Drosophila melanogaster: one gene and its partner. The protein of the gene in region 2 purifies or fractionates together with the protein of the main gene of each other region. This does not show direct contact. Each region holds a gene or a part of one and is shown on either strand. Other genes may lie near its edges. The genes, in order: bard and smg.

Region 1 (4,125 bases), on a different chromosome or scaffold from region 2:
CTACCGATCGTGTTGGCTTGTCAGTACGGAGGTGTGAAGTAATTTGGCCAAAAGGGCTTACCTGATTTAACAGTGGCAGCTGTATTTCAGCCGCCGCCTGATCCTTTTGTGCCGTCCCGGTTTTTATGGCTATAGGAATTTCAGGCAGATGATGCTTGGAAAGTTCTCAACTTTTTCATTTTTATTTACCTGCAAATAATGCAAAGGAGATATGTATGTGAACAGCGTTTTAAGCTCCAACGATCTCTGTGTAAAGATAAAATATTGTAATTCATTTAAATGAACAAATCAGGCAGAGATCGAGGCTAAAAAGAACTGTCCACTTGGGAGTCAGGAAAAGTCAAAAGCCAACAGCCTCCACGGTAGATTGTTGTGATGTGATTACGTCAAAATTATTAAAACAGTCTCGAGTCCCTCATACATATACACATACATACACATACTTCGGTATGTCATGTTTCCCAATTCGTCTGCTGCCTTGATCGACACTGATCTCAGATAAGACAGTCAAACAGAGACCAACCAAAAAAAAAAAAAAAAGTATATTATAGCCGAAAAAAACGAATACCAGAGACAAGTGCATTTGCATCAGAGATATACCCCAACCCGTTTTCCAAATCTCGTGTGAAGCAACGTTTTCCCAAAAGAAGAAAACAGAGTCGCTGAGAATTCATAAACATCAGATTTGAGGTGTAGCCAACAAAGTTGTTGAAAAATATGAACAAATGAAAATATTTTCACCAACCGGGCCAAAATAGAAATGTGCATTATATCTACATTAAGAAGTTGGCTCCCCGCTCAAGATTGTCAGCATTGTCTGTTGCCCAGTTTTATGCTTTGACAGGCCATAGACGCACACAAGGCTGACAACAATGCCATTAGTCCCTGGACAAAAGCCAACCCAATGACAATTGACAACAGAGGGTATCCAAGAATTATCAATGGGAAACGCAGGGCAACTGTACAAGTTTGTCCGGGAAACGGTGTGAACCTTCTTCAACACTCACAAAAATTATTTAATAATTGTACTTAAGTCTATCCTAGCAAAATTTTACTAGATTTTAAAGGAAATCAAACTAAGAATGTACCTCAATTTTTGATATTTTTATATTTTACTTTCCTATATATGATTTTTTCAATTTATTATATGTTAAATATATTATTAACAAAGGTTTGTGATCTTATAACATTTACTTTTAACATATATATTCCTTGGACATACTTTAGTGAAAAGGATTCGCTTTTAATCGCTTCGACAGTTTTCATCAGCTACGTTTCTCCCTTAATATAAAGATAATTCTAACACTGTATCTTTAAAAGAAAATGTATTTCTTCGGATAATAAACTGTGCAGTTTCTTTTTCAGTGTCTTCTGTGATTGTGATTCCTCTAATCGCTCGCTAAGCTGCCAGACAAAAACACATGGCTTTGATTATTAGATCGTTGAAGCTCGCACAGAATCCATTCCATTCTATTCTATTCCATTTGGTGGGACTGTTCTTCGTTTACGATTCCTCTGCGAGAGTTGTTAGCATTTCCTAGAAGCCAAGCCAGGCAAAGCCGAATGCTGACCACGTTTTGTCCAACGCATCCGGCCAAGATTCTGGACTGGAACAGGGCAGTTGCTAGAGAAGTTGGCTGGGAACACGTCTGGGTTCGTGTAATATGCAAACTAGTGAGTCTCTCTAGCGATAACTGTACAGATAGGGTTTTTTTTCTGCAGCAACAACAACAGCGCAGGCTTACAAATTGCAGGCAGTATACGACGGCGCAATTTATGAGGACCGGCGCGATCATGGCGCGATCCTACAGATCAGGTAACTACAGGTAACTACTACTGAAAGCTGGCACAGCTGTTGCCAAAGGATTAGCCTGCAAAAGAGATAAGGACACTGGGTAATCCTTCCCCACTACTACCTGATTCACTCCCTCACTAAATGCACTACCTAAATTTGCATAAAAACTTAGATTCATCAAAACAAGAGCACATTCAACCAACAGCAGCCTTCGAGGAAGCAACACACAGCAGTCATCACATTTGACAGACAATACATACAATGTCGCAAATGCACAATACCGCATTCTACAAGGACGCTCTGGTTGCCCAGCAAAATAATACCTGTTCACCGATGGAGGAAATTGAACCGAACTACATCGACAACCTGCACATTATATTTTTCGAGCAGATTTTCGAAGAGATCGACAATCTGATCGATCAGGTACGCATGGCTAGGGCCTATCCACAGTTCATGCCACAGATTCTCAAGTTCTGGCAGAGGCGACTGCACCTGATCATCGGTCCAAATACACCATTCCTTGGACTCCTGGACATCGATGACTATGTCTTCTTTATGGAACACATGGCTGATAGCTTCACGGATCTGCACGTTCACGACGGCGTTGGTTCCTTTTCTGAATTCTACGACTATATCACACACCTGTGCGATATCAATATCACCAAGTTTCCCAAGGTGGACACTTGCATATTGGCGGGCAATCCCAACACAGTGGTCGATGAGGACATCCGCGACTTGACGGTAATGTTGCCCAATCTCAAGCGCCTAATGACCTGCATGAATCTATCTGGCTTATATATGCGTGGCTTCAAGAAGTTGGAGGAGCTGGTATTCAACTCCTTGTACCATTCGGTGCCATTGGATAGCCGCTGGATTCAGGATATCTGTCTGACAATGACCAATTTGAGAGTCCTTGACATTACCGATCAGTTCGACAGTTGTGTGAGACTCACAGACATCAAATTGCCCAATCTGGAAGTGCTAAAAATCAACTTGAGCACCGTAGAATGCATGCTATCGGAGGTGCTGCAGTTGCCCAAGTTACAGAAACTATCCGTGCGATTCGATGATTCGCGGCAATTGAACGCAGATCAGGAGACCATCTTCCAGCAGATTGTGGTGGCCAAAAGCGAAAGGATCACCCGAATTGCCCTGAACAACGAAGTGGTTCAATTGCCAGCTCGGTGGCAGCAAAGTTTGCTCCTCGAACTGCCCAAGCTGAGGAAGGTGATATGCGAGAATTGGTGCCACAATGATTTCTTCCTGGATCGCCAGCACATGCCCTGCCAACAAATGGAGGTGCTCAGCTTCAGTGGCTGGGAGATTGTGCGGGAGACTCAGCTCCTGGAACTGGTCGCCGAGTGCGTCAATCTGGAGCACTTGGCTCTGAACGGCTACCACAGCAACTGGGAGAAACTTACTAAGCTCGTGAATATTCGCAATCAGGAAAGGAATCCCAGACCACTGCAGGTGTTCAGCGACATGATGTGGGGCAACTTCACACCCGAGGAATATTATCACTGGCAGAGCAACAAATATGTTCAGGTCACCTGTGACAGCAGCGAATACGAATATCAGGAGGATGGTTTCGAGTTTGATTTTGAGTGAATAACAGCTCAACAATTTTACCAATTGTATATACTCCTAAACAAATATTTTTTTTCATGAATTTTGTAATTTTTTATATTTTCTATTGTATATAAATAAGACGCACTGGCTAAATCAAAAGCAACGCACATTTTCATTCTCAAACACTCCCCGATTGCAGGCAATTTTCCAAGAGGTCTCTCCTTCAACGGCAAACATTTATTTATTTCGCATTGCAGCGCTTTAGGGTCTGGCAAATGGAAAAATCAACACACTTTATGGCCAGCGAAAAGATTTAACTGTGCTTTGGGCCCCAAGTTGCCGTCATGGCTTCTTGGACTCTCCTCACATGTGGCATGACCTCCACTCACATGGCCAGTTAATTTCGCGAGGCATAAATTATTTGATTTGATTGAGTCGGAAAATGAGTTCGCAAAGTGCCCAAAGCTCTTTGCCGACTGTCCGGCTCAGTTCCCCGATCACCGAAACTCCTGACCATTGGCCAACTGGCCAAAAGAAGTGAAGTTTGGCATGGCATTGGGGATTTGGCTCTCTTACTTCAGGGTTGGCGCAATACAACTGCTTTCAAATAAGCTAGATTATAGATGTTTAACTATAATTTGTGTGTAATTGTTAATATTTTGGTTATTCCATAATGAATATGTAAACTTTGTTTTATGAGGTTTCCGATCGGAAAGGATAATCACAGGGTAGTCTAGCCTTCTGGATTATAACATAATATC
Region 2 (8,284 bases):
AAACATTGAAACTCTTTTCTGTTAAAGTTTAGTCTAGTGGTAGTTTCCGCCGTTGCGATTTCCTCTGGTGCAGTTACGGTTCAGCAAATATGTTCCTTTTAATTTAAAATAAATTATGTGTACGTGTATATATAAACATATTCATTATGTGACTACTACTTCATTCAGCAAGCCTAGTTTTGATTCGCGCAAACAATTATCAGCTCTCGTTTCTCAATTCTCACTTTTCAATTCCCTCTCCATCCAGCTTTCTTCCTTCTAGTTTTTATAGTTGCGAAAAGTAATCTTAGTCAGTCTCATGGTCACGATGCAGAGTTCATTTTATAATTTTTTACTAGATAAACCATTTTTCGTCGTCGTTCAGATCGGGGTATTTCTTTCATTTGGCGACGTTGTTGATAGTGAATGAAATAGTTGATGTTGTGATTGGGGTTTAGAATAGCGTAAAATGTTGATCAAATTTGGCCAAATTTTCCTAGGTAGAGAGAAGTTACTGTATTCTGTTGTTGCGATCTGTGTGTGTGTGTGTTGTGGGGCTTGGCTTGTTAGTTTAACTACATAAATGGCGACAACATTTACGAAACCTATACATTAATAACATTGACAGTAAGATGCCACGCCCCCGCTGACAACCGACATGGGATTACCGTCGGGGAGTGCAGCATGGGCTCCACAAGTTCATCGGCCAGCCGTTGGTCCTGCGAGCCCGAGTCAATTGATCATATCTTTGGGGGCGCCTTGGCATACAGTTAATAAACTTAACATTAAAACAAACTATCGTCTTACTAACTAAAAACGATTACAGAACGGGATGTGAAAGGAGACGCAGGGTGGACAACTTGACGCGACACAAAAATAGACACGAATCTTAAATATCTAAATATAAAAACATTTATGTTCGTTATGAAATCAAACATCAAACACGGCTCAAAGCTAAATGAACACAAAAACAGCTGGCAGCCTCAAATCTAACGCCATTACATGATGATTTCAAAACCCAGATAGCCCTGAATCTTGCTCAGTTCATTGCCTGTTCAGTCATTTGGCGACACAACGTCTCCAGCTGTTCTAGGCTCTTAAAGTCGTTCATCTTGTACTCGGTGACGTGGGGCGACATGCCCAGGCTGCCCAACGGTGACTGGGACAGGCAATGGTCTACGCCATGATTGTTGTTCTTGCTGCTTTGGTGACAGATATTGTGGACACAGGCACCACCACCACCATTGGAGCACAGACAGCTGCCACTGCCCACGGCGGCAGCAGCTGCTGCCAAAAGTTGCAACTGTTGCTGGTTAATCAAATTGTTGTTCAGCATGCTGTTGTTATTATTGTTGTTGATCAGGATCTGGGGCTGATCGTGCTGGTCCTGATTCTGGTTTGGATTACTAACCATCACAACAGCGGCCATGGTCTTCTTTGGTTGTTGCTCCGCACTGGACACTCCTCCGCTAAGTTTTCTCTGCTGCTGCTGCTGCTGCGACTGCTGATTGCGTTCCAATACCAGGTTGTCGTTAGATCCGTTGTTGGTGAGCACTCCCTGACCGGGCTTAAAGATCAATTGCTGCGGTTGCTGCGGACCTCCGGCCACCAGAATAAGATTATTCAGCGACCGGCGATGCGATTGTGGTGGCGTCTGCTGAGGCAGCGCTGGAAAGTGGTTGTGTTGCTGCAACATCTGTTGCATCTGCTGGGGATGATGATGCGACTTACTAGACGGCGGCGGTGGTGGCTGCTGCTGAGGATTACCCATGAAGCTTGGGTACGAGGAGCTCTTGTACTGCGGCTGATGGGATGGACCGCCGCCATAGCCGTTGTAGTCAAACTGTGGCAGAGGCGGCGGAGCCTGCTGCGAATGATGGGGCAGCGGGTGTGGCAGGCAATTTAGCGAAAAGTTTAGCATGTCGTTGGAGTTTTTGCGGTTGTTAATCCTATCGTTGCTGCCATTTTTAGTATCGCATTTGCGAGTCTTACCATTCCATCTAAAATAACAGCTCATTTTTAAAATGCATTACTTTTTATCTTATTGAAAACCTTACCTTGGCTTGTTAATGTTCCCATTGTTTGGCCCGACGCCGGCTGGCTTGACGTGATGCATTTTGGGAACCATGGAGATCTTCATTTTGGACAACTTAAACTTCAGGTCCTTGAGTTGACTGGCGTGATTCATAAATGCCTCGTTGTGGATAGAGCGGTCTAGAATCCACATAAGCACACCCAAAGTCTCGTCGTCTTGGACAGCATACGGATCCTGCTGCAACGTATTGGTCACAATGTCAATGACCTTAAGAAAACGCAGACCAATGTTTTCCTCCGGTGGTCCTGGAGACTCCAGTGGCTTCATTGGTGTCAGCACAATATTTGTTAGCTCCTCAACCGCCGTGCTCAGCTCCATTTGACCCGATAGCAGTTCTTGTTCTACCCGGTTAAGAATATTGGCCCGTTCCTTCAGCTTATCAATGCAAAGGGCAAGCTTGTGGGAGGCGCCCTTGGTGACGCCAACACTCTGCAGAAAGTCCTCGGTGATCAAGAGCATTTCCTCGTACGTCATGTTCTTGAACAGCTCGATGTACTTGTGCAGACGCAAGGATTTTAGCCAGAGTCCGATTCCCGACATGCCCACGTTGCGCGTGTGGAACTTAATATAATTGGGCTTGAATTCATCCAGACGAGTATCGGAACCGCTGTTCATCAAGGCGCCGCGCTGATGCTCAATCGATAAGGAAAAACTACGGGGCTTGTTGGCAAACTGTGCCAGATTCTCCGTTGAATTGGAGCAGTTGTCATTGACCGTGATCACCGATGAGTTAGACGAGCTGGAACAGCTAGAGATCGTTTGCGTGGTGAGGCTGTTAGAGCGCCGCGTCTTCAGGGCTGCAATCTTGCTGTCCAGGCTCCACCGGTTGATCTCTCCAAACTGATCGCCCACGTTTCCCATAAGGATCGAGGCATAGGGAGGAGGCTGAAGCAATTGCTGCTGAAGATTCGGCGGAGGTTGCGATCGATCCTCAACAGGATTTCCACCGTTACGTCCACAAAGGCTACTGCTGGCCAGACTACAGGCCTCACCCATGTCCGCCGTCACCGGGTCAAAATCGAGAATCTCCGTGCCATTCTTGCTAAATGACGTGTCATGATCGTCGCCACCAGCGATTCCCAACATAGAGCCTGCACCAGCGACCACACCGTTGACCAGGGAAGAGCTGCCCTCCAGCGACAGGCCGAGACTGTTCTGACTAGAAGCTAATTCGTTCAGGGTAATACCATTAAGATTATCACAGAGTGGATTGATCGACCCGCTGGAGCTGCCGCCTCCATTGCCACGCCAATCACCGGCCAATTTGTTTTGCAATTGCTTGCTGGGCGGGGCGATCGTTTGCCAGTCGTTGGTGCGTGAGGAACGGCTGCCGCTTGCGGGGCACAACGAGGATGAGGCCACCGACGAACAGGATGCTGTCGAAGAGCTGGTCGCCGAAGAGGAACAGCTACCACTGCCTGTTGAGCTACCACCAGCGACCAGTTGCGGCGAGGGCTGCAGGAAGTAACTGCGATTTGTCAGGCCCGCCGCAGCCGCTTGGATATGATCCTCCAAGTGACGCAGCCAAATGTTGAGCGAACGTCTGTCCTCGCTGGTGATAGCTGGATGGATGAGTAGGTACGAGAAGATCTGCTGCACCAACTCCGTGGGCACAATTTGCTGCATGGTGTCCTTGACGGCAACTGGTATAAGGGTCAGGTAGATAAGCTTGGCCTCCTCATTGCCCGGCTTCAGCAGAGGCAGCATGTTCAGTACTTCATGCAGAATGTCCTCCTTGCGGGCATACAGCTTCCGCTCGTCACACTGCGCCGATGTGGTGATCTGGAAGTCACTGCCGTAGCATGGCATCGAGTCCTTGTCGGACGACGAGGAGGACATGGCGTCGAGCAGGTCACATGGCTGGAACGTCTTGTAGGCGTTGAGTAGATTCTGCAGGTACACCGGATTGTTGGCATTGATGTCAATAACCACGCTGCTCAGATTGGTCTGGGAGGTGCCCAGGTTCTGGGTCAGGTTGCTGTCGATAGAATACTGTAGAAACTTGAGGCTCGGGTAGCGCAGCCGCTTGAGCAGCGCGTACATCACGACGGTTCGCTCGCAGTCGTTCCACTTCTCGAAGAGATTTGTCACTGTGGTCACCTGCTCGCAAAACAGCGCATTGGACGGCTGGCTCTGGCTGGGATTGGCGTTAGAATTGGGATTGCCATTGGCGTATGTCGCCGTCGTCGTGGCCGTTGATGTGGCCTCCTTGTGGGCTGCAGTAGGCGTTGATGTGGTTGGCTGCATCTCGTTGGATGCACTGTTAGAGTTATTGGTTTGGCCGCTGATGCCGGAGGTCATCGCGTTGTCAGTTCCAGTTGCGTACTTCATCTCGTTGTTAGTTGCTTCTTGTTTTTTGGGGATAGTTCTTACTATAGTTTATGGTATTGTATTTGTTACGGCTTCTTTGTGGTTATTTGGTTGCGTTGCTGCAAGTAAAGATAACGGGGTAGGATTAATAATTGAACTATTATGTAAAGCTAAACTTTGTGACTGTGGTAATACAATTTTTTTTATGCTCAATGAGCTGTATCATTCGCTTAAAGCCTAGTTTAGCCCAATCTAATCACTTCCATAGAAAAATACCACAATTCCGAACCACGTGATCCAATCAATAGCTTCTCCCTTATTCCATGGATTTGTCGCCATTGCTCCACTCGGGATTAGAGTGCCGTGCAGCGATAATAAAATAAACTTTAAGCCGCAAATAACGTTCGAATTTAATCAAATCAGTTTTCGCTAATTTGTTAAATTTACAAGCGCAATAGCAACAACAATTATCTGTAATTGACGAATGGAAATTAGCATTTGCTTGGTCGGCTGGCTTATCAGGAAAGCAAATAAACAAGCAACAAATATATAACACCTTCGATTCGCTTTGATGGCGCAAATGACGAGGGACGATAAATCAATAAAATAACAAACATTTCAAATACGAAATCGCTGATTTCGACTTGGCGGCGTTCGGATTTTGATTTCCGGGCGGGAAAGTAGAGCGGGGGCGAGAAGTTTGGTTAGGTTGTATTTTTTTTGCACAGTTTCGCGCTTTTCATTTAGTTTCGTTTGTGCCCATTTCGAATCTTGTTTCTTCTGCCGCCGTTGCTGTTGTTGTTATTATTGCTTTTACTCTGACGACTTTCTTCGATTTTTGTTGCCGTGTTTTCACAGTAAGCACACAAAACATTGAACAAATCAACGCATGGGAGTCAAAAAATTTGAAAATTAAAGTATCTATTTTTTAATGTAAAATGTAGTTTTAAGAGAAATTGCTGCATTTTATTTTTTTATCCTGGTTTACGACATCGAGTGTTGACTGTAATCTAAGCCAGAGACAGTGTAACTGACTGTGTATTGGTACCCCAACTTAAGTTAGTGTGTGTGAGCAAGCAGTAAAACATAACGGGCCCCAATTACTGCATTTAAAGCACATTCACTGCTATGGAATTTACCGATGTTAACTTCTTTGCTATTTAACGTAACGTTTTATATGAAATTTCACATTTCCCTGCGAGACTGGGAGCGCAAAAGAGTCGTTTGGGGCGACTCGATCTAACGGTACTTGTGCATGTCGATCTTTGAGGTTATGCGTCACTGCAATTGCTGTTGTTTTCTAACCGGCTTGCAAATAAAAAAATTACCGAAGTTCAACAAAAGTTCAAAGTTCAAAGATTGCAAGCACGCACACACACGCAAACGTAAAGGATACTGCAAACTCACACGCTCTTATATATTATCGTATTTTGGCTGCCCTTTCAGCAGTCGCGATCACAGGCGCTTGGCATATTCCGAACGCTTTTATTTACATATGTACGTTGCGAATAAATTTGATTATATCTGCAAAACTGCAGATCCAACCACACAGAACAGAAGAATTGGTTTAGCACAGCGAAGCTCAGCTGAAGACGAGAAGCTGCAGTGGGGAGCACCGCGGAGGAGGAGCGGCTGATGGCGAATGATTTGGCGCTGGCGTCAGCGATTTAGAAAGAAAATGGTGGAGCTGCAGAAGCAGCGCAGCGGCAGGCAGAGCGAAACGGGCGAAAAGGAGCGCGCGCCTTTTTTTTCTGACAGGATTGATGCTGATGCTGATGCTGCTACTGCTGTCAAGAAAATGGGGAGAGCACTCACTTACACGCACACACAGACGGAGACCTTGCTGCGCTCGTCGGCAGTGGTATGTGTGCGAGTGAGAGTGACACACTGAGCAATGCACGGGCAAAATTGCGGTAAATTACATGCATTACATTTAAGGGAGAGGGGTGGGGCTCCTGCGGGGTAAGCGGGTTTTGTTGTTTTCACCACACAGAGCAGCAGCGCACAGTACACAGAACACACAAGATTGGCCCCCAAAATCACGCCCCACCCACCTAGCCACGGTCGGCCAGACAACAAAAATATATAGCTACAGTGCGCTTGTGCCAAAATTCGTTCTATTTTTCAATTACCTTTTCGCCTTCTATTCGCCTGCTGCAAACCTTGAAATTATTTTCTGTTGCAATTCACAGTTTTGATTCGATCAGCACGAGAAACGAGCATATTTCGCTAATTTGATATGCTATCGGATCGCGTATTTATTAATTTATAATTTTCACCTTTGCTCGCGCGCGCGTTTGTGTGAGTGCGTATGTGTGTACTTTTTATTAGCACTTTTGGGCTTTAGCGTTGTTGTTTTTGCTAAACCATTACTTTTTTTTAGACACACAATTCATGGCGCTTACGCTCACAAACGCCCGATTACTGAGTACTGCGCACGGTTGCTGTTGCACTTGGTCGGATGCATGTTTCGCCAGCTAATCCATTTTTTCAGCAATTAATTAATTATTTATTCACGCGAACGCAGCGTTGCTAGTGCTGGAACAAAAATCGATGTGTACTCGATACAGTCGATCTTTCTTGCAAGCGGTTATCGGTTACTTTCCCTTGGTGATGGACGCTCAGTTGAGCAGCAAAGCTGCCCTAGGTTCGATGCCGTGCTCATGCAGCGCGGACTCAAACCACGGTTTTAGCTAGAAAATTGCCAACAAAAATGATCTCCGCGCTTTGGCCTATTTCTGTGGTTATTTGACAGTAAGCGGAGACGGTGACACTGTACCACCAATTGGAACAAAATAAGGATATTTTCTTTTTGCATTTTGCTCGATATGCAATGCAGAAAATATCCAGCGAGGCTCTGAATCAAGGCTCTGGGATAGCGTTCAGCTCGAGGAAGTGATTGAAACGATAAATACATCCCGGAACGGCCACAATCCCGACAAAAACAAACGCTCTGGTCAACAACAATACATCATCAACAAAATTCTTTCAACCTGCTGCAGAGCAAAATGTTTGCCCAAAACCAAAAGGCCAGCTTCCTGGAGCAGACAAAGGCGGCGCGGGAGGAGCGGGCACTGGAAAAGCGACGCGAACAGGCGGCCATCCTGCTGCAGTCCACGCTCAAGGGATATGCGGCGCGTAGGAAGTACCAGAAACGAATCATGTAAGTGTCTATCTACTTTTATGGAACATCCTAAATAGTAACCCGTTTTGCAGACTCGATTTCGATGCCATGTTCACTGAGAATCATGACGATAAGGATGCGGAACTGGAACTCGTGGCAAGCAACGTCTATCCGGTGCTTCGTCGCTACCTCACCCAGATCAGGCTGGACAAGAGCGATGTGCGTGCACGGGAGCGTCTGGAGCGCATCTGCCGTTACATCATCAAGGCAATGGAGTCGGAGAACACCAAGCTATCCTATGCCGCCCTCTGTCTTTTTAAGGAACGCAGCCTGCCCTGGATCGCGCACATCAAGATACTGCTCACGAACTGCCTGACATTGCTGCCGGAGCTGAAGCCGGAAAACCATGCCGACAGCTTGTCCCTTGCCCTATTTCTGCACACACTGGTAGTCTTCACGGCGCCCAAATCCTGGGCGATACTCAGGAATGCCCAGTTTGAGAAACTGCAGCCGGCCATGCAAAAAATCTGTTGTAATATTCAAGGTCATCTGGTGCAGCACGATTTTTACAAAATCATGCGGGTATGTTGTGACTTTTATTCTTTTAATAAGCTTATTCATGTTATTCTCCATATTATCATCCAGCTCGTTTTGATACGCGGCACTGTTCGCGAGGAGTTGTCTGTAAAGCCCGTCACCCTGGTGGCCATCATTACACTTTGCCTTCGTCCCCTGATCGATGGCAACTTCAGTCGTAATCTACTGGCAAAGTTTCT

Evidence for each region.
Region 1: the proteins of smg (region 2) and bard purify together in Drosophila melanogaster (affinity purification with mass spectrometry, with the first as the bait; one study listed by BioGRID). This does not show direct contact.

The regions. Positions count from the first base shown.
Region 1 is NT_033777.3:18,079,065-18,083,189, forward strand, and holds bard (bard), read left to right. Parts: upstream 1-1,983; 5' UTR 1,984-2,056; coding exon 2,057-3,403; 3' UTR 3,404-3,519; downstream 3,520-4,125.
Region 2 is NT_037436.4:8,991,063-8,999,346, forward strand, and holds the start of smg (smaug), read right to left. Parts: upstream 6,033-8,284; 5' UTR 5,792-6,032; intron 5,510-5,791; exon of another isoform or gene 5,420-5,509; intron 5,188-5,419; exon of another isoform or gene 5,000-5,187; intron 4,856-4,999; exon of another isoform or gene 4,661-4,855; intron 4,504-4,660; 5' UTR 4,406-4,503; coding exon 2,037-4,405; intron 1,980-2,036; coding exon 1,019-1,979; 3' UTR 982-1,018; intron 476-981; coding exon of another isoform or gene 434-475; 3' UTR 1-433. Other genes in the region: CG5087 (uncharacterized protein), read left to right, coding at 7,393-7,547, 7,601-8,090, 8,154-8,284. UniProt on the Drosophila melanogaster protein: Translation regulator that binds to the 3'-UTR of specific mRNAs such as nanos (nos) and prevents their translation. Prevents translation of unlocalized nanos in the bulk cytoplasm via the recruitment of cup.